4 linked regions of the Canis lupus familiaris genome follow. The protein of the gene in region 1 interacts with the protein of each later gene in a pairwise test. Links are inferred from orthologs where the notes say so. Each region holds a gene or a part of one and is shown in the gene's direction. Other genes may lie near its edges.

What was found. The genes of interacting proteins can lie anywhere in the genome.
Region 2: the proteins of TRIM54 (region 1) and INPP5J interact in binary tests that used the Homo sapiens proteins (3 or more experiments, as listed by UniProt). The two-hybrid records come from large-scale screens. The link is inferred for Canis lupus familiaris from reciprocal best matches to the Homo sapiens genes TRIM54 and INPP5J.
Region 3: the proteins of TRIM54 (region 1) and IQUB interact in binary tests that used the Homo sapiens proteins (3 or more experiments, as listed by UniProt). The link is inferred for Canis lupus familiaris from reciprocal best matches to the Homo sapiens genes TRIM54 and IQUB.
Region 4: the proteins of TRIM54 (region 1) and FAM110A interact in binary tests that used the Homo sapiens proteins (3 or more experiments, as listed by UniProt). The two-hybrid records come from large-scale screens. The link is inferred for Canis lupus familiaris from reciprocal best matches to the Homo sapiens genes TRIM54 and FAM110A.

The regions. Positions count from the first base shown.
Region 1 is NC_049238.1:21,340,353-21,344,619, forward strand, and holds the end of TRIM54 (tripartite motif-containing protein 54), read left to right. Parts: coding exon 1-32; intron 33-1,571; coding exon 1,572-1,667; intron 1,668-2,299; coding exon 2,300-2,533; intron 2,534-2,790; coding exon 2,791-2,813; intron 2,814-2,923; coding exon 2,924-3,048; intron 3,049-3,209; coding exon 3,210-3,302; intron 3,303-3,604; coding exon 3,605-3,621; 3' UTR 3,622-3,763; downstream 3,764-4,267. UniProt on the Homo sapiens protein: May bind and stabilize microtubules during myotubes formation.
Region 2 is NC_049247.1:24,526,098-24,530,251, forward strand, and holds the start of INPP5J (phosphatidylinositol 4,5-bisphosphate 5-phosphatase A), read left to right. Parts: upstream 1-1,345; 5' UTR 1,346-1,539; coding exon 1,540-1,650; intron 1,651-3,265; coding exon 3,266-4,154. UniProt on the Homo sapiens protein: Inositol 5-phosphatase, which converts inositol 1,4,5-trisphosphate to inositol 1,4-bisphosphate.
Region 3 is NC_049235.1:61,093,775-61,098,048, reverse strand, and holds the start of IQUB (IQ and ubiquitin-like domain-containing protein), read left to right. Parts: upstream 1-1,465; 5' UTR 1,466-1,468; coding exon 1,469-1,488; intron 1,489-2,209; coding exon 2,210-2,643; intron 2,644-4,274. UniProt on the Homo sapiens protein: Adapter protein that anchors the radial spoke 1 (RS1) complex to the A microtubule of outer doublet microtubules in axonemes. The triple radial spokes (RS1, RS2 and RS3) are required to modulate beating of the sperm flagellum.
Region 4 is NC_049245.1:20,607,895-20,611,946, reverse strand, and holds the start of FAM110A (protein FAM110A), read left to right. Parts: upstream 1-1,243; 5' UTR 1,244-1,487; intron 1,488-4,052.

The DNA.
Region 1 (4,267 bases):
CCCCACTGCCCACCATTTACAAACGTCAGAAGGTATCAAGCAGTGGAGGGAGCAGGCATGGTGGGGCTGGGGACAGTGAACAGGGTCTCCAACTTCAGCCTCTCATTCCACTTGGTTTTAAAGGCTGGCAGATCAGGGCTACAGTCCCAGCTCTATGCATGACTCAGTGTGACCTTAGGTAAGTCACTCGACCTCTCTGACCCTGACTTTCCTCACTTATAAAATGAGGGTGAAAATGCCAACTTGTAAAGTTATTTTAAGGATACAATTAGATGGATACAAGCAACTTCAGTTTGGCAGCCTAGATACTCTCCAGGCCCTCTCACTACCACACAACTACATTTGACATAAAACATAATTTTAAAACTATATCAGTGGGGCACCCGTGTGGCTCAGTCGGTTGAGCATCTGACTCTTGATTTCAAATCAGGTCATGATTTCAGGGTTGTGAGATCAAGCTGCATGTTGGGCTCCATGCTCTACTTTGAGATCCTCTCCCTCTGCCCCTCCCCCTAGTCTCTCTCTCTCATGAACAAAATGAATCTTTTAAAAAAGGGAAATAAAAATTATATCAGAGGACAAATGTTGGCAGTATTCCTGAGCTAGACAGCTGAGACTATGCCTCCAGACTCCTGAAAGGTGGACACCTGAACTGAAGACCTCCACAAATCTTGGGTTAAACTGGAATCTCAGGAACTAAGGTAGTCAGATGTGCCACCGGCTTTTGACAAAAGCAAATGCAGAATCTGCGTGGAGGAAACCCACCCAATTTAGGCTCTTAGGGTTTCCTTAGATTAAGAACAACAAAATATTAATTCAAAAGTGAAGATACAGAAAGAAGTGTACCTGAGTGAAGTCGGTAGAAACCAAAATTAGAGATTAGACCTCTGAGGAATTCAGATATTGGAAATATTAAAGAATTGGGAATTACTGTGCATAAAATGATTTCTTAAAAGGATGGAATAAAACCTTAGCAATAATAGATTGCCAAACATGCAGATTTAACAAAGAGCCAAATAGAGCTTTTAAAAATGAAAATGTGATTGTTGAAATAAGACATCCAAAGGGTAAATTAAATGACAGATTCCTCTGAAGAAAGAATTAGCAAACAGGAAGGCAGGCCTGAAAAAGTAGCCTAGGATGCAGCACTGGGAGAGGAGAAGGATGAGCACATATGTCTCCTCAGAGTCACAGAATGAGCAAATAAAGAGAATGGAGATGAGGTAATAGTATCCTAAGGAATAATTACGAAGAATTTTTCTGAATTGATGGAAGGCGTGAATCTACAGACGAAGCATTTAGTCCAGGGCCTGGCAATTGGTGGATATTTGGCAAATGTCTGTCCCTTTCTCATTTGTTGATGGAGGCCCTCCTCTTTCCATCTCCTTACAGAATCCACAAATGTGCTTTCACACTTCTTGGACAGTACCAAGCCACTAGATCTCTGGAATAGCTACACTGCTGGTGGAGTGGAGGGACAGTCCTCTCCTAGGCAGCCCTGGCTGGGGTGGGAAGGGTACAGCTCTAGACAGGGTCCTCCAGCTCTAAGTGCTGGCCTGTGTGTGTGGCAGAGCGAGCTCAGTGATGGCATCGCAATGCTGGTGGCAGGCAACGACCGTGTGCAAGCAGTGATCACACAGATGGAGGAAGTGTGCCAGACCATCGAGGTGAGTCTGGGTTGGGAGAGAGGGGAAATTTCTGGGTTCCTGGTGGAGGAGGGAATCACAATTAGTGGGATATGCTTAGCCAAGCTACTAGGTTTGAGTTCCCAGGGTAGCTCCGTGACTTTGGTCCAGTTACTTCACTTCTCTATGCTTTGTTTTAAACATATAAAATAATGATAATAATATGATGGCTACCTCACTGGATATTTTTGAGAATTAAATGAGATAATATAAGTAAAAACTAGGACCAGAGATACTTCCGAACTCCTTTAAAATATTGTATTTGCTAAAGAGAGAAAATCTCAAGTTTTCACAAGAAAAAAAATTGTAACTATATGTAATGATAGATAACTAGACTTGTGATCATTTCACAATATGTACAAATATGATCATTTCACAATATGTACATTTCACTACATTGTACATCTGAAACTAATATAATGCTAAAAGTCAATTATATCCCAATTTTTAAAAATCTTGTAATTGGTATTACTGAAAAGACCTGGGTTATCAGCAGCCCGTGGCTATGGGTGGGGTACTTTCCTTCCTGTCTGTGCCGCCTGTTTACTGGGGAGTGGGACAAGTAGGTGCGTGCTCTCCCAGCTAGAAATCTTATCCTTGCTCCGCTCTTTCAGGACAACAGCCGGAGGCAGAAGCAGCTGCTTAACCAGAGGTTCGAGGCCCTGTGCTCCGTGCTGGAGGAGCGCAAGGCCGAGCTGCTGCAGGCGCTGGCCCGCGAGCAGGAGGAGAAGCTGCAGCGCGTCCGGGGCCTCATCCGCCAGTATGGAGACCACCTAGAAGCCTCCTCTAAGCTCGTGGAGTCCGCCATCCAGTCCATGGAGGAGCCACAGATGGCGCTGTACCTCCAGGTGGGCGCTGGGGGAGGGCGGGAGGCCGCAGAGTGGCGGCAGTGGGGGCCTTGGCACCAGGAGGGCTGGGCTCCAGTCTTACCTCTGGCAGCCAACTGCCCCACGGCCTCGGGCAAGTCACCCAGTCTGAGTCTGTTTTCTCCTCAACGACCCGGGATATGCATCCGCGCCTACCGCGCAGGACTGTGGGCGCCAGCAATGGGACTTTGCCAGCGCTTGGCGCGGTGCTTACGCTCACCCTCCCTTCTTCCCTGCAGCAGGCCAAGGAGCTGATCAATAAGTGAGTAGGCGGAGCGGGAGAGGCAAAGAGGGGCTGCCTGGGCTCGGCTGCCCCGCAGAGCGGGTTGAGGGTGCTGCGGCGACTCCAGCTGAGCGGCTGCCGCGCCGCAGGGTCGGGACAATGTCGAAAGTGGAGCTGGCAGGACGGCCAGAACCGGGCTATGAAAGCATGGAGCAGTTCACCGTGAGCGTGGAGCACGTGGCCGAAATGCTGAGGACCATCGACTTCCAGCCCGGTGAGGGAGTGAGGATGGGAGGGGGCGGCGGGCGCTGGGACTGGGCGTCCCGAGGCGACGCGGGGAAGGGGGACGGGGGACGGGGGACGGGGGGGGGGGGGGGGGGAGGTCGCGGCCAGAGAAGCAGGGACTCCACCTCACGGGGTCTTCCTGGGGGACAGGCGCTTCCGGGGAGGAAGAGGATGAGGAGGTGGCATTGGACGGGGAAGAGGGCAGCGCAGGGCCGGAGGAAGAGCGGCCGGATGGGCCGGAAGGTGAGTGTGGCCCGAGGGGCCTGGCGGGGCTGGCTCGACGCCCCGGGCCCCTCTGCAGTGAGGCCGCCCTGCGGCACCAGCGATCTTTGGTGGCCTCCCCACCCCCAGCGGGAGGGGCGCCCCCTAGCGCGCGTGCAGAAGTACACTCTCTTTCCCACCAGCCTTTCCTCTGGGGCTTTGGGAGACCAGGTTGGGTCGGGAGGTAGAGGAGAAAGCCACGTGGCTGGGGGAGAAGGGGCGAGCTGGGGTTCGGAGCTGCCTTGTTCCTCTGGAACGCCCGCCCACCGAGCTTTCTTTCCCAGGCACTGGCGGGCACTGAGCTGCTCCCTGTTGGGGAGCCCGCGCACCGGGGCCTGGCGCTGGGGTCGCGGAGGACCTGCTCAGAGACCGCTGCGCCACCCAGCTCGGCGCCCAGCCGCGGGGGAGGGGCTCAATAAAGGGCTAATGTGTTCAGACCCGCAGCTCCTTTCACTGCTCACTCTCAGTCTCGGCTTCCGAGTGACCCCATCACCATCCTGCCCTTCTCCGGATCCGGGCCCATTTGAGGGACGGAAGTGGAATGACCCCTGCGGGGCATCTCCTTGGTATCAAGCACGGTTTGGCGAGCTCAGTGCCAAGGGAAAAGGGTCGGGGTGGTGCGGCGGCACCAGCACCTGAGTTCTTGGGGGAACGATGGAGATGCGGACCCCGGGTGAAGGCCCTTCTGCCCGAGCCCTCGCGCCAGCATCTAGTTCCCCCCCGCCGGCCTGGGAGGTCGCACTTTCCCACGGGCTCCCACCCTGCTGTGGTTCCCTGCGCCCCACAACCGAGGCCAAAGGCTCTTCAGCACTTTTATTAAAAACTGGTGACGCACAGAGTGCTCAGGGCATCCCTGGGCCGCTCTAATCTGGCGGGACTGGGTCACTTCCAGTCGCGCACGTCCGGGCCCGGGGAGAGGGGACGGGGTCGAGGTTATCGCGGCTGCA
Region 2 (4,154 bases), on another chromosome or scaffold:
CTATCTCGACCATCCCCAATATCTGTAATTTTGTCATCACCTCCACTACCTCCATTTATCTGAACCATCACCACCACCTCCATCATCAGTGTCACTCCTCCATTTCCATGATCATAATTACATAGGTCGTTATCTCCACTATAATCACCTCCCCTGTAACCACTCATCACTTCCACCATCCTTCATCACCCCAAATCCTTCCTACTCCAGAGCCCTAAGATGGCCTGGGTCTCTGCCCCTACAAATTCCAACCTCACAGAGTCACTGGCCAGGGAACACAGACTAGAACCAGAGATAGTCAAGCAAAGGTAGGAAGCCCATCCAGGAGAAGGGGATGAGGCATCTGTCCATGCAATTTTCATACAGGGGACAACACAGGCCCATGAGGATACAGAAGTGACTGTGGACCACCCAAGAGCCCTGGGTACAAAACTCTGGACATTTCCTGGCTAAACTAAGTGTGATCATTCCTCTCAAAGCAATCCAGCAATTCTGGAGAAATCAGGATCTCTTAGCAGATAAGAGTAAGAGAGAGAAGAAAGCAGAAGCAGAGGGCCCACAGCCATCCCTGGCCACATCTGAGCCCTGTCACTCATTCACTTTCCTTACTCCCTGACTGAGTCATCCGTTCATTCAGCAAACATTTCCCTGGACCCTGTGCTGGGTCCTGGCCATTGAAGTTTCCCAGGCCTGTTTTTGACCTTCCTGCCAGTCTATTCCTCTACTGCTGGGCCTTTCTCCACCTTAGTTCCCTTCCCCTAGACACCCCAATTGGCTCCCATGGGTCTTGGGTTACTGAGAAAGCTCCCCTCACTGTAGCTCTTAAGATCTCCCCACCTTGCTGGGTGACCTTGAGCGAGTCCCTCTAGCAAACCACATCCAGTGCATACTGGAAAGAGGAAAGGTGAGAGGGGCTGGGCTGTGGAGACATCCAGGGCAGATGGCCAGGTGTGTGTAAAATAGCAGGGGCGGTGCTGAGGCTCCAGCAGTTGGAGCCTGAGTGTCTGGTTCTCCGATGGGAAGGATAGAGCAGGCAGGGGGGCTGGCACCAAGGCCCAGAAATGGGGCAAAGGTGAGGGCAAAGCAAGCCCTGGGCTGGCAGGGAGTCAAGCTCCCAGGATCATGGCAGGGACTTAGGTGTCTCTGTGGCCTTGGAGAGGGTGCTGACCTCCGAGCTACCTGTCTCTACCTTACCTGTCAGGTGTGTCAATACCCCACCCTTGAGTGAGAACCCACCAGGCCTACTGGCAGGAAGGTGGGGACAGACAGCCAGCCTCCTCCATGTTGCTGGTCGGGCCCCAAGCCAGGCCAATGGGCACACTCTCCACCCTGCCCCACGGCCATTTCAGCCTCAGCAGTCAGCCTGAAGGGCTCCCAGAGTGCAGGCCACCTTGCCTTGGCCACCTCTAGGCTGGCAAGTAGGTGCCTGTGTCTTTAAATTCTCAGCAGGTTGAAACGGCTGATGACATCACTGGTTCCCGGGAGCGGAGGAGCTAGAGCCGGAGCCCGAGGGAGCCCGGGCTGCTAGGGGCTGCAGACATGGAGGGCCAGAGCAGCAGTGGCAGTAGGAGGCCAGGGACCCGGGCTGGCCTAGGTCCCCTGCCCGTGCCTGTGCCCCATGGGGTTTCCCAAACTGGGGCACCCTCCAAGGTAAGACCCCTAAAACCTAGCACCCCATCCCTGATCCTTGGTCCCACACACCCCCACACACGGCAGGCACCCTGGTGCCCCTGGCTGAGGGGCTGGCACTCTCCTCTACCCACCGAGCAGGGGCTAGGCAAACAGGGCACTCTGGGGGCTGAGGGGGCAGTGATGGGACACCCAGAGAGAGATGGAGTTCGCCATCTCCGGGAGCCCCCAGCGAGCCCTGGACTGGGTGTCAGGGGATCCAGCTGTGCTCCAGCTTTGCTGTGTGACCTTGGGCAAGTTGCTTGTCCTCTCTGAACCAATGCAAAATGAGGAGGCTTGTTCCTGAAAACTAAAATGGTGACATCTGGGATGTCTAAGTTGCTAGTGCTGGAGGTGGTGTGGTGGTTGGGGGGACACTTGGAGCCGAGGAGGAAGCCTAAAATGCAGTCTCAAAGAGCTAAGTTTGGGGAGGAAGGTGGAGGCAGAGTTTCAGATTCTCTGAACCGAGAAGGACACGGGACACAGACAGAGCTGCATGTCTGGAGGCAAGGATGGGGCCACCTCAGGGCGAGTGTAAACCTTCTGCCCTCCCTGGCAAAGGACATTTTATCCCGTCTTCTGGAGATAGGGGCATCAGAAACAGAGGACAGATGGGAAAGAGAGAGGAGGTCCCTGCAGGGCCTCACGTTCCCCCACTCCACCTGCCCCCACTCCACCTGCCGGACAAAAAGAGGATACCTGCTTGTCTGTCCTCAAAGGTGAGGGACACAGGGGAGAGGGGACAATTGGGCACAGAGAAGTGCAGTGCCAGGATCTGCCAGGATCCTGGACTTACACAGAATGTTAGAATCACACTTGATGAGGACAGACTATTCCATGGGGTTCAAATGGAATCCTAGAAAATGTTCGGCTCATAAACGCACAGAATATGAGACCAAGGCTTCTCAGGATTCCATCATTTTACAGATGAAAACTGAGCCCCTGGGCAGAGAGGTGCTTGTCTAAGGTGACAGAGAGCTGGGCTTAGAATTGACATGGCTAGTCTTAGCCCTAGGCTCTTGCTTCTATATGGAACTCTGGGAATGGGTGAGGAGGACAGGGAGGACTGTGGCCAAGGAGTTTGGGATCCTTGACAGGGACAAAGCTGAGGGTTCCTGGAGGAACTATGGAGGAAAGGAGGGAAATTTAATAGGCTAGACCCAAGGTGTCCAGAGAGGGCAGATCCGGGGTGTTAGGTCGGTAGCCCTTAGCCAGGGGAGCAGGAGGGAATGCAGGGAGAGCTGCCCAGAGAACCTGACTCCAGACACCCAGCCCTCCAGCGCGACCAGGGAGTGGGCATCAGTCAGCCAGGAAGGCAAGGGAAGAAACCTCGGGTTTGGCTCACACGCTGCCTCATTTGAGTTGGGGGTCTTAGTTTCCCCATCTGTGAGAGGTGTCAGACTTGAGAGAGGGAGATAAGGTTCTGTCTCCTGTTTCCTCCAAAAGAGAAGCTGATTTGCAACAGAATGGATTGAAGTGAGAAATTAGGAAGAACTTCCTTGCAAAGATGTGCCAGAGTATGCTGGGGTCTCCATGGAAGCCGGGGCCCGAGCCCCTGGTTAGGGTTACCCTGAGTCTTTGACTGGTCTTCTTCCAGGTGGACTCAAGTTTTCAACTCCCATCGAAGAATGCAGCCCCGGCACCCTCAGAACCGAGATTGGCCCTAGCAGCTGTGGGGCCGCGAGCGGCTGTGCCACCTTCCACAGAGGGGCCCAGGTTGGCTCTGGCATCTCCCCGACCCATCCTGGCTCCGCTGTCTACCCCCGGAGGACAGAAGACAGCTCCTGCCCGCCGCAGCTCCAGCCTGGCTCCAACATCTGTGGGCCAGTTAGTCGTGTCTGCCTCGGCTGGGCCAAAGCCTCCTGCGGTGACCTCAGGCTCGGTCCTGGCTCCGACATCCCTGGGGCAGCTAGTGATATCTGCCTCAGCGGGGCCGAGGCCTCCCCCAGCCACCCTGCGGCCCAGGCTGTCTCCAACATCCAGGGACCAGAAGCAGGTGCCACCTGCCTCCGTGGGACCCAAGCCAGCACTGGCTGCCTCAGGCCTGAGCCTGGCCCTGGCATCTGAGGAGCAACACTCACAGCCCCCCTCCAACTCTTCCCCAGTGCCCAGTCCAGTCTTGTCGTCCTCTCAAGAACAGGCCCTGGCTCCAGCTTCTGTGACCTCAGCCTCGACCTCTGTGGGACAGACGCCAGCTAAACAGAAGGCTGCCCCAGCTCCTAAACCTCTCCCCTCTTCTGAAGCGCATCTGCAGCCTTCAGCTCCGGCCTCTGGTCCCACAGGCTCCACATCCTTGATCCAAAGCCCCCCAGACCCCCGGATCTCCCCCTCATTCAGAGCCCGGCCTGAGGCCCCCCGTAGCAGCCCTGAGGATCCTGTCCTGCCCCGGCCACCCCAGACGCTACCCCTGGATGTGGGCCAGGGCCCTCCAGAGCCTGCCACCCGTTCCCCAGGACTTCTGTCCCCCACCTTCCGGCCAGGGTCCT
Region 3 (4,274 bases), on another chromosome or scaffold:
TTAACAAAGTCTAGGGTTAAGTATCCTATCCCTCAATTTCGTAAAAAGTATAAGAATTTGAGAACAGTTCACTCTGATCTTTCCCTTCCCAGTCATATATTCTTATTGTCTAATATTTTAATTTTCTACTACTATTCTGTTGACAGTATATGTTCGGGTTTACCCGTATGCTTATAATTTATTTGTTTACCTTTTCTTTTGCACTTCAAAGTTCTGTTGACCCCATTTTCCTCTTCCTTCAAGTATATCCTTTAGAACTTTCTTTAGAGCAGATATCTTTGTGGTAACTATGTATAAATATTTCTATTTTCTTTTTTTTTTTTTTTTTTAATTTTTTCTTTATTTATGATGGTCACACAGAGAGAGAGAGAGGCAGAGACACAGGCAGAGGGAGAAGCAGGCTCCATGCACTGGGAGCCCGATATGGGATTCGATCCCGGGTCTCCAGGATCGCGCCCTGGGCCAAAGGCAGGCGCCAAACCGCTGCGCCACCCAGGGATCCCTATTTTCTATCTTGAAAGAGAATTTTGCTCTATGCACAATTCTAGGTTGATAGCTATCTTTTAATTAGTTCATTGTTACCTTGGCTTCTATATTTCTGACGAGAAATCCGCAGTGATTTTGCTTTTCTTTCCTTTGTATTAATATTAGCAAATTAATCCAAAGCAGTAGGTGATATGTCCTTTTTCACTGTGTGCTTTCCAGACCTTCTCTTTGTTATTCTGTAATGTAATTACAGTGCATATGGGTTTGATTTATTTATATTTATCCCATTGGGTGTATGTTTATGTTATGCTTCTTGGATCTTTGGATCCATACTTTTCATCAGTTTTGTAAAATTCTCATGCTTGCTTTGGCAGCACATATACTAAAAAAGAGTTTTGTAAAATTCTCAACCGTTACTTTAAAAATATTTTCTCTCATTTATCTTTTTGTTTCCTCTGTGATTCAGATTTGACATCTGTTAATTAGATCAGGGGCTGACAGACTTTTTCTGGAAAGGGCTTCTCAGGCCACATACAGTCTCTGCTGCATATTCATTGCTATTTTTTTATTTTAAAAGTATAAAACCATTCTGAGCTCACAGAAAGATATACTTAGCAATAGATATGCTAGACTTTTTCTCTTTTGCATGGCCCTTAATCTCTCATATTTTTCATATCCTTATCTGTTTGCTGCATTCTATATCAAATCATTTTATTTATCTTTTAGTTTCCCAATTCTCTCTTCAATTATAATGCTATATTCATTGAATTCAACAAATATATATTTTTATTCCAGATATTCCATATTTGAGGAAGGCTAGAGAACTTCACTAAGGTTTTTTTTTTTTTTTTCTATGTAAGGATTTGTGCTTAATGTGTTAGCCCCAAACACAGCTTTCCCACTTCACTACTTGTTCCATATTTTAATCCGCCCCTGCTCTTGCCACAGAAATACACCTCCAGGTCACTTCTATCCTCCCTTGATGGCTGCCAGTTTCTACAGGTAGGCTCCCTGATGTACTGGCTCCTCAGAGCTCTGATCCCGCTGCTGCCCCTGCAGCCTGGCCCTTGGCTGCCCGAGCCCACTCTGGCCCCAGGTCCTGGGTGCTGTCACAGTCTCCCAAGCCAGAGCTCTGGATTGCTGTACCTCGGGCACTAGTCAGCTCCAAAATCAACCCACACTTGTTTGTTGTGGGGAACAAAAGTCATTGGAGACTTGCTACAGTTTGTGAGAACAAAGCTACTACAAAGAGTGCTTACCATACAGGGTGTGGTTGCTGGGTCGCTGGCAGATCCCTTACAGCTTCTGATCCGTTGTAATCCCAGAAATAAAAGTCCTGTGTTAGTTTGTATTCAGAAAGAAAGCTTTTCAAATAAACCCTTTCACAAGGCATTGTTCATTGGATAGGGAAGCGTTGACAATATATTTTAAAATATTTTTCAATATATTCTTGACAGTAGATTTTTCTCAAATTGTGTTTTGAGGTTCTCGTTTAGTGATATTTTTACTTTTCATGGTGTTTTTATTAAAAATTCCCCGGTGCTTTTACCTAATGCCGTTACTAAAATAATCAGTATTTAAAAGAAAATAGTGAGCAACATTGCAGTATGTTATGAACATCACTGTATACCAGCACTGAATTTGATATTTGGTGTAAGAATTTTTTATGTGTAATAAATACATATATATATATATTTATTTTTCATATATTTTTTTGGTTCAGAAAAATGTCTGATCGGGAAGAAGAATTTGGTGCTCAGAATGCTGTTACTGCGTCAGAAGAAAATGATGATGCTTTTGAGACCATCAATGTTCCAATTTCCTCGGAGGAGCTTCCAGAGTCAGGTCAAGCAGAAGGCAGTGAATCTGAAGTCACACCATCCAGTGAAGGCCACACGACACATGTGAAAGAGGAAAATGACCAGAGCTTCTTGAACGAGGAGCCAGAAGATGAAGAACAATTCATGGAAGAAGTTTTGTTCCCCAAACGAGTTTCATACTCTCGAAGAAATTCTGTAAAGCACAAGTTCACTAAACATGATAATGCAGTGCAGTCAGCCAAACAGTTTTCACATGCTGGATCTCTGGCATTTCTGGATAAGATAAAGGCGATAAAGGAATCTCTGAAAGCATCGATGAAAGATCCTTTAGCAACAGGTATTACTTGGGGAAGACAGGAATCTCTTTTCCTCGTTTTGAAGAATGGTTGCTTTTTCAAATTTATTTTGCTTGAAGATTTGTTTTATATTTGATATTGCATACTTTTCCTTCCCTTTACCCACCAAAACCTCTGTAGCCACTACCACTTAATCTCTTAATTAAGTGTGAAGGTACTCTATTCTATAGTATCTGTTTTCCCTGAATAGATGAACACCATTACATTTTAAGTTGATATTGATCCATCTTTCCTAAATAAAGTAGGTTTTTAAAATGTTTAGGGACCTGGTAAAATGGGAAATTCTTGAGTACAATTGTCGTTCTTTTGCATACCTCTTTGGAATTACTTGTTCGTAGCTAGATAGAGTTGGAAGGGAACTTGACTCCAGATTTCTTAGTTTCATATCCAGAGTTCATTCCTCATACCTTGTTACTTATATATATTTCCACACTTTTTCTTAGTGTTAACTTTATATTTAGCTTCAGAAAAATTGTTGTCTTGAATTACTGTTTATTTTATTTTATTTTATTTTTATATTGTTTAATTTTAAAGGCATAAGATTCATGGTGTGTAGGAGTTCCCACTACATTGTTGGTAACAAAGCCAAAGTGGAGCAGCAAGAAAGTGGTTACATCTAGAACCAGCTTAGTTGGCTGATTAACTGACTGCTACTTCTCTCTCTTGTCCATAAGTTTTGAAATTGTTCATCCATAGGGTGGTGAATATGGGGCCATCTTTTAACAATAATAACAGCAGCTTGTTTGGCTGATGAAATGTAGCTTTTGAATCCAGTGGAGTAGTTTACCCTTGTGTGGTGTATCCATACAAGAGAAGAATGAGAAGGAAGGAGAAGAAATTAATTAAGCCCTATTATACCTAACTGAAGCTGTTATCCCTCGTTTTCACTATTCACTATAAATTTGGTCTCCATTTGTTTGTTTTTTAAAGTAACCTCTGTACCCAACATGGGGCTCAAACTCACAATCCCGAGATCAAGAATCACATGCTGTACTGACTGAGCCAGCCTGTGAGCTCCGTTTTTTGGTATTTCTGTGATTGCCGGATAGTAGTTTATAACAAATACTTAGGGATTAGAATAAAGTTGTCTTAGTCCTGTACTTTCTGAGGCTCACAAATTCATACACCTCCCTTTCCCAAAGCTTAGGAAGTCACTGTTATGAAAATGTTAAAATATATTAACCATAGAATTTTGAATCCATAAAACAACTAGAATAGCCTTCTGATGACTTAACATCTATGAAAGTGTTTTCTTTGTTGATAGCTAGGAAAGTAAATTTTAACAATCTCAAAGAACCTTAGCATCAACAGTGCCTGGTTAAATTTCATTCTGAGATTATTGATAAAAGTCTCATTTAGCTTTATGAAGATTGTTATGTGTCAGGCCTCTAGAAATATATAAAACTTTTTCAGCCTACAGTTTGTACTCTGCCCTCCATCTTACTTATTGATCTTCTCCATTAAAACTTAAAGTCAGTAGATGTAAAAGAAGAAAGTTTACCCCATTATATTAAACTTTTGAAAAGTTTTATTATTAATATGTAAGTGTCTTGAATTGCTATTTTATAGAATGGCTAGTGAGCCACGTAATGCCTATTTTTGTGAAAATTAG
Region 4 (4,052 bases), on another chromosome or scaffold:
GTAAGTGCTCAGTCAATGACAATCCAAAGAATGAAAGTCTCCATCTGGATTAGAAAACAGGTTGGCTTCAGATTCAACAATGCCCTAGACCCAAACAGTGACTCACAGCTGTGAAATTTCCTCATCTCAAAGGGTGCTTAGAGTTCATTTATTCGAATCCTTTTTAAAAACCTGTGGTTTTTTCCATTGACATATTTAAGTGTTGGAAAGTGGAAAATCCACAAAAGCACAACAAAGAAATGAACTGCTATTATAAATGATTATACATGTGACATTGCAATTATGTACTTAATATGTAGTTATGTGTACATAGTGCTTTGAAACATACTTTTATTTTTATATTATAGTTGCACAGAGAGAGAGGCAGAGACACAGGCAGAGGGAGAAGCAGGCTCCATGCACCGGGAGCCTGATGTGGGATTCGATCCCGGGTCTCCAGGACCGCGCCCTGGGCCAAACGCAGGCGCTAAACCGCTGCGCCACCCAGGGATCCCTGAAACATACTTTTAAAAAGCTTTCTTTGCATTTTCCTCATACTTTAAATATCTTTAACTACATCATTTTTAATGACTGCATTACAGTCATCGGGACTGTGGGGATAATTAAGGGTACCTATCTCAAAGGGTTATGCCATGAGCACTGACCGGAGCTATGTCATGTGAAGAGACCCAGCATTTGTAAAAGGCTAGATAAACTTAGCTCTTCCGCAGGATGGCTTTATATAACCAATCCTTTTTTTTTTTTTTTTTTTTTTTTGCTGAGCATTGGAGTTATTTCCATTCTTTTGCTATGGCAAATAACGCTGGGCTATATTAATCTTTGCTCATATCTTTGGTCATTTCCTTAGTAAAGTTCAGGACTGCTGGGTTTGCACATTTCACAATTTCCCACTGAGCACGTAGGGGAACAGAGAGAGAAAGGGGCTGGCCCGGGCTCACACAGCGAGCTGCAAAGGCGGACCTGGAGACTAGCTGGGGAGCCCAAAGGGCGCCTCATCGTGTTGGGGACCGGGAGGAAGGCCTGGCCAAGGGAGAGAACCAGGCTCCAGAGCGGCGGCGGCCGCGGGAGCAGCAGGCCGGCGGGGCAGAGCGGCGCTGGGCTGGGGGGCGAGGCTGGGCGCTCGCTCGCGGGGCCCAAGCTAAGCGGTCGCCTGGCAACCCAGGCGGCGCGGCGTTCGAACGGAAGCGAGGAGCCAATCAGGATGTCCGGGGCAAACCATTCGGGCGGCGGGGGGAGAGCGGCGAGCTCACTTCCCTTTCCTCTGCGCCCCGGGGACCTCCGGGCCGGCGGGGGCCTGGGGACAGCCTGGTGCCCCGGTCCGTCTCGGGTACGCGCAGCCGCTCGGAGGAGGCCCCTGCGGGCCCCCACGCCGGGTTGGGGCGCACCGAGCCGCCTTGGACGCGGCCATTCCCAGCCCGGGTCCGAGCTGTCAGCCTCTTCCAAGACCCGCACGGGCGGAGCCGGGACTCGCCGAGCTCGGGCTTCAGGTGAGGGGGCGGGTGGTCTGGGTCGGAGGGGGTCCGGTCGCCGAGCGCCTGCTGTATACGTCCTCCCGGCGTCGTACGTGCGGGAGGAGGTGGTACCCCATTTCACCGAGGAGAACGCTGAGGCGCCCGGAGGCAAGTGTCCCATCCCTGGCTGAGAATCCAGTTCACATCTTTCAGCTCCACCTCGAAATCTCCAGTCTGGGTAGACCCAGATTTGCCTGGAGAGGTCCAGACGCTCAACTGGTGGTCAGCTCCTCAGCCTGCAAGGCTGCTATGCCCTGGAGCCCAGGCTGGATCACCTACCTCCTGCGCCGCTCCTGCATTGCCCCCTGGGTGCCCCCTCTGGGCATCTGTCTTCCCTTCTCTAGGACGCCAGAGGTTGGATTCAGGGCTCGTTTGGGGTCCTTCTGCCCACAGGGTACTGAATCGCAGTGCCATCTCAAAGGGCTGTTTTGGGGGATCCGACTGGACCGACGTGTCTTGGTTAGGTGCTAGGTGGGCAGCAGGTGCTTTGGCCCTGGAACCACTGTTAGATTCTTGAGAATCTGCTCCAGGCTGGGGGAAATGGGTAAAGGCAGCCACTGAACGTTAAGCCACTAGTCAGCAGAGACTTTGGAGTTCAGGATGGGGCTGCTGACACCTCTGGCTGGAGCAGCATACGTAGACCAGGCCCTGACTCCTGGGGATGCTCTGGGAACTCAGAAAGAAAATAAGTCTTTCATTTATTCTTTCAACAAATATTTATTGACTTTGTATGCCATGCCCTGCCCTCCCCTTTGTCTATTTTGTTTCTCTCAGTGGCATTTGCCCATCTAATGTCCTCTGTATTTCACTTATTAGGGAGTTGATATCTTCTTCCACTGGAATGTGATAGGAGGAGGGGCTAAGGTGGCCTCCCGGGCAAAATTGAGGGGTGCCAAAACCTCTAATCAAGATAACTAAAGCTAACAGTTATTATTTTCTTAAAGATTTATTTATTTTAGAGAGAGAGAGATGGAGTGTGGGAGTGGGTTGGGGGATTGAGGGTGAGGGGGCAGAGGCAGAGGGGGAGGAGAAACAGATCCTCCTTTTGCAGGGGAGTTCAAGGGGGGAGGAGGGGAAGCTGGATCCTAGGACCCTGAGATCATGACCTGAATGGAAACCAAGACTTGGAAGCTCAACCGACTGAGCCACCCAGGTGCCCTAAAGCTAACTGTTACTATTTGCTGCGTGTTCTGCTGGTAGAGATCAACTCACATGGCCTCTATGGAACACAGTACACCGTCTCTGTCACGATTACAAGCACGTCCTCAGCCCAGCTGTCTCACTTCTAGGCAACGCAATGTAGGTGCAGTGACGCCGCAGGCTGGTTTGTAATAGGGCAGGTCTGGACACACACTAAATGGTCATCAGCAGGGGCTGACGAGCTCTTTATGTTACTGATGTGCCACCACACATATTTTTGGACAACATATATTATTAAGTATATTAATACATATATTAGAATTAATACTATATTAACATTATTAAAACAACATGTATTATTGAGTAAAAAGAGCAAGGTGAATACAGTACACACAGCATGTTGCCATATGTGTACAAAAATAGAAAGAATTTATACTCATTATTGCTTGATCTGCCTAAAATCTCCCTGGAAGGACACACAGTTGTCTGGTTACAGTGGCACCTGCAGGGAGGGGAACTGGGTGGCTGGGGACAGGGGTGGGAAAGAGTTTGTTTTTTACTTCATTCTCTTCATAGTTTTTGAATTTTGAGTCATGGGCATATATCATCTGGTTGCATTATATACATATGAATCATTATAGATGATATATTTGATCATAAGACCAGTGCCCCATCTGTGATCTGTCATTGACTTGCTGTGTGACTTTGGGAAAGTTTCTTCACCTCTCTGGGCCAAGATAAGAAGCCATGATGGCAAACTCAGGTCTGGGAAGAAGGCAGTCCAGGACAGGAAGTGGGCTTGCCCCGGAGTCTACCCCAACCTCCACCTTCACTATCCTTGTGAGCCAGGACCTTCCCTGAGGCTTTGCATGCAGTCTCTGTCTCCACTGCAAGCCCGTTTGTCCTCATTTTGCAACTTCAGGTACACACTGAGGCACAGATAATTGAGCTGGTGGAGCTGAGCTGTCCGCTGGCCGATAGAAGATCAGTGCTTCAGGCGTCTGTGCCCACAGCCCTCCTTCAGTCCGCTCACCTCTCTCTTTCTGAGATGTGTGCAAGTGTGCCCTGGGCAAGGCCCACTGCAAGCAGGTCAGGGCATGAGTGTCTGGGGAGACTCCAGAAATAGCACGGAGCCTGGCGTGGCCCTGGAGGATGCCCAGCTGGGTGTCTCTGACCCGGACAGCTGGGCTGAAATCGAGCTGGCCTGCCCTATTGGCTGGCCCCCTCCCTGCTGCCTGGAGCCTTCCTGATCCTCCTCTGGGGCAGGTGAGGGCCTCCCTGTCTCCACCCAAGTCAGGGCCTGGCTTCTGCCGAATGGAAAGAGCGAAGCAGGTGGAAGGAAGGGGTGGGGTGGGGGGTGCAGAATGTCATGAAAACTATAAACGTCGAAGCCACACCTCT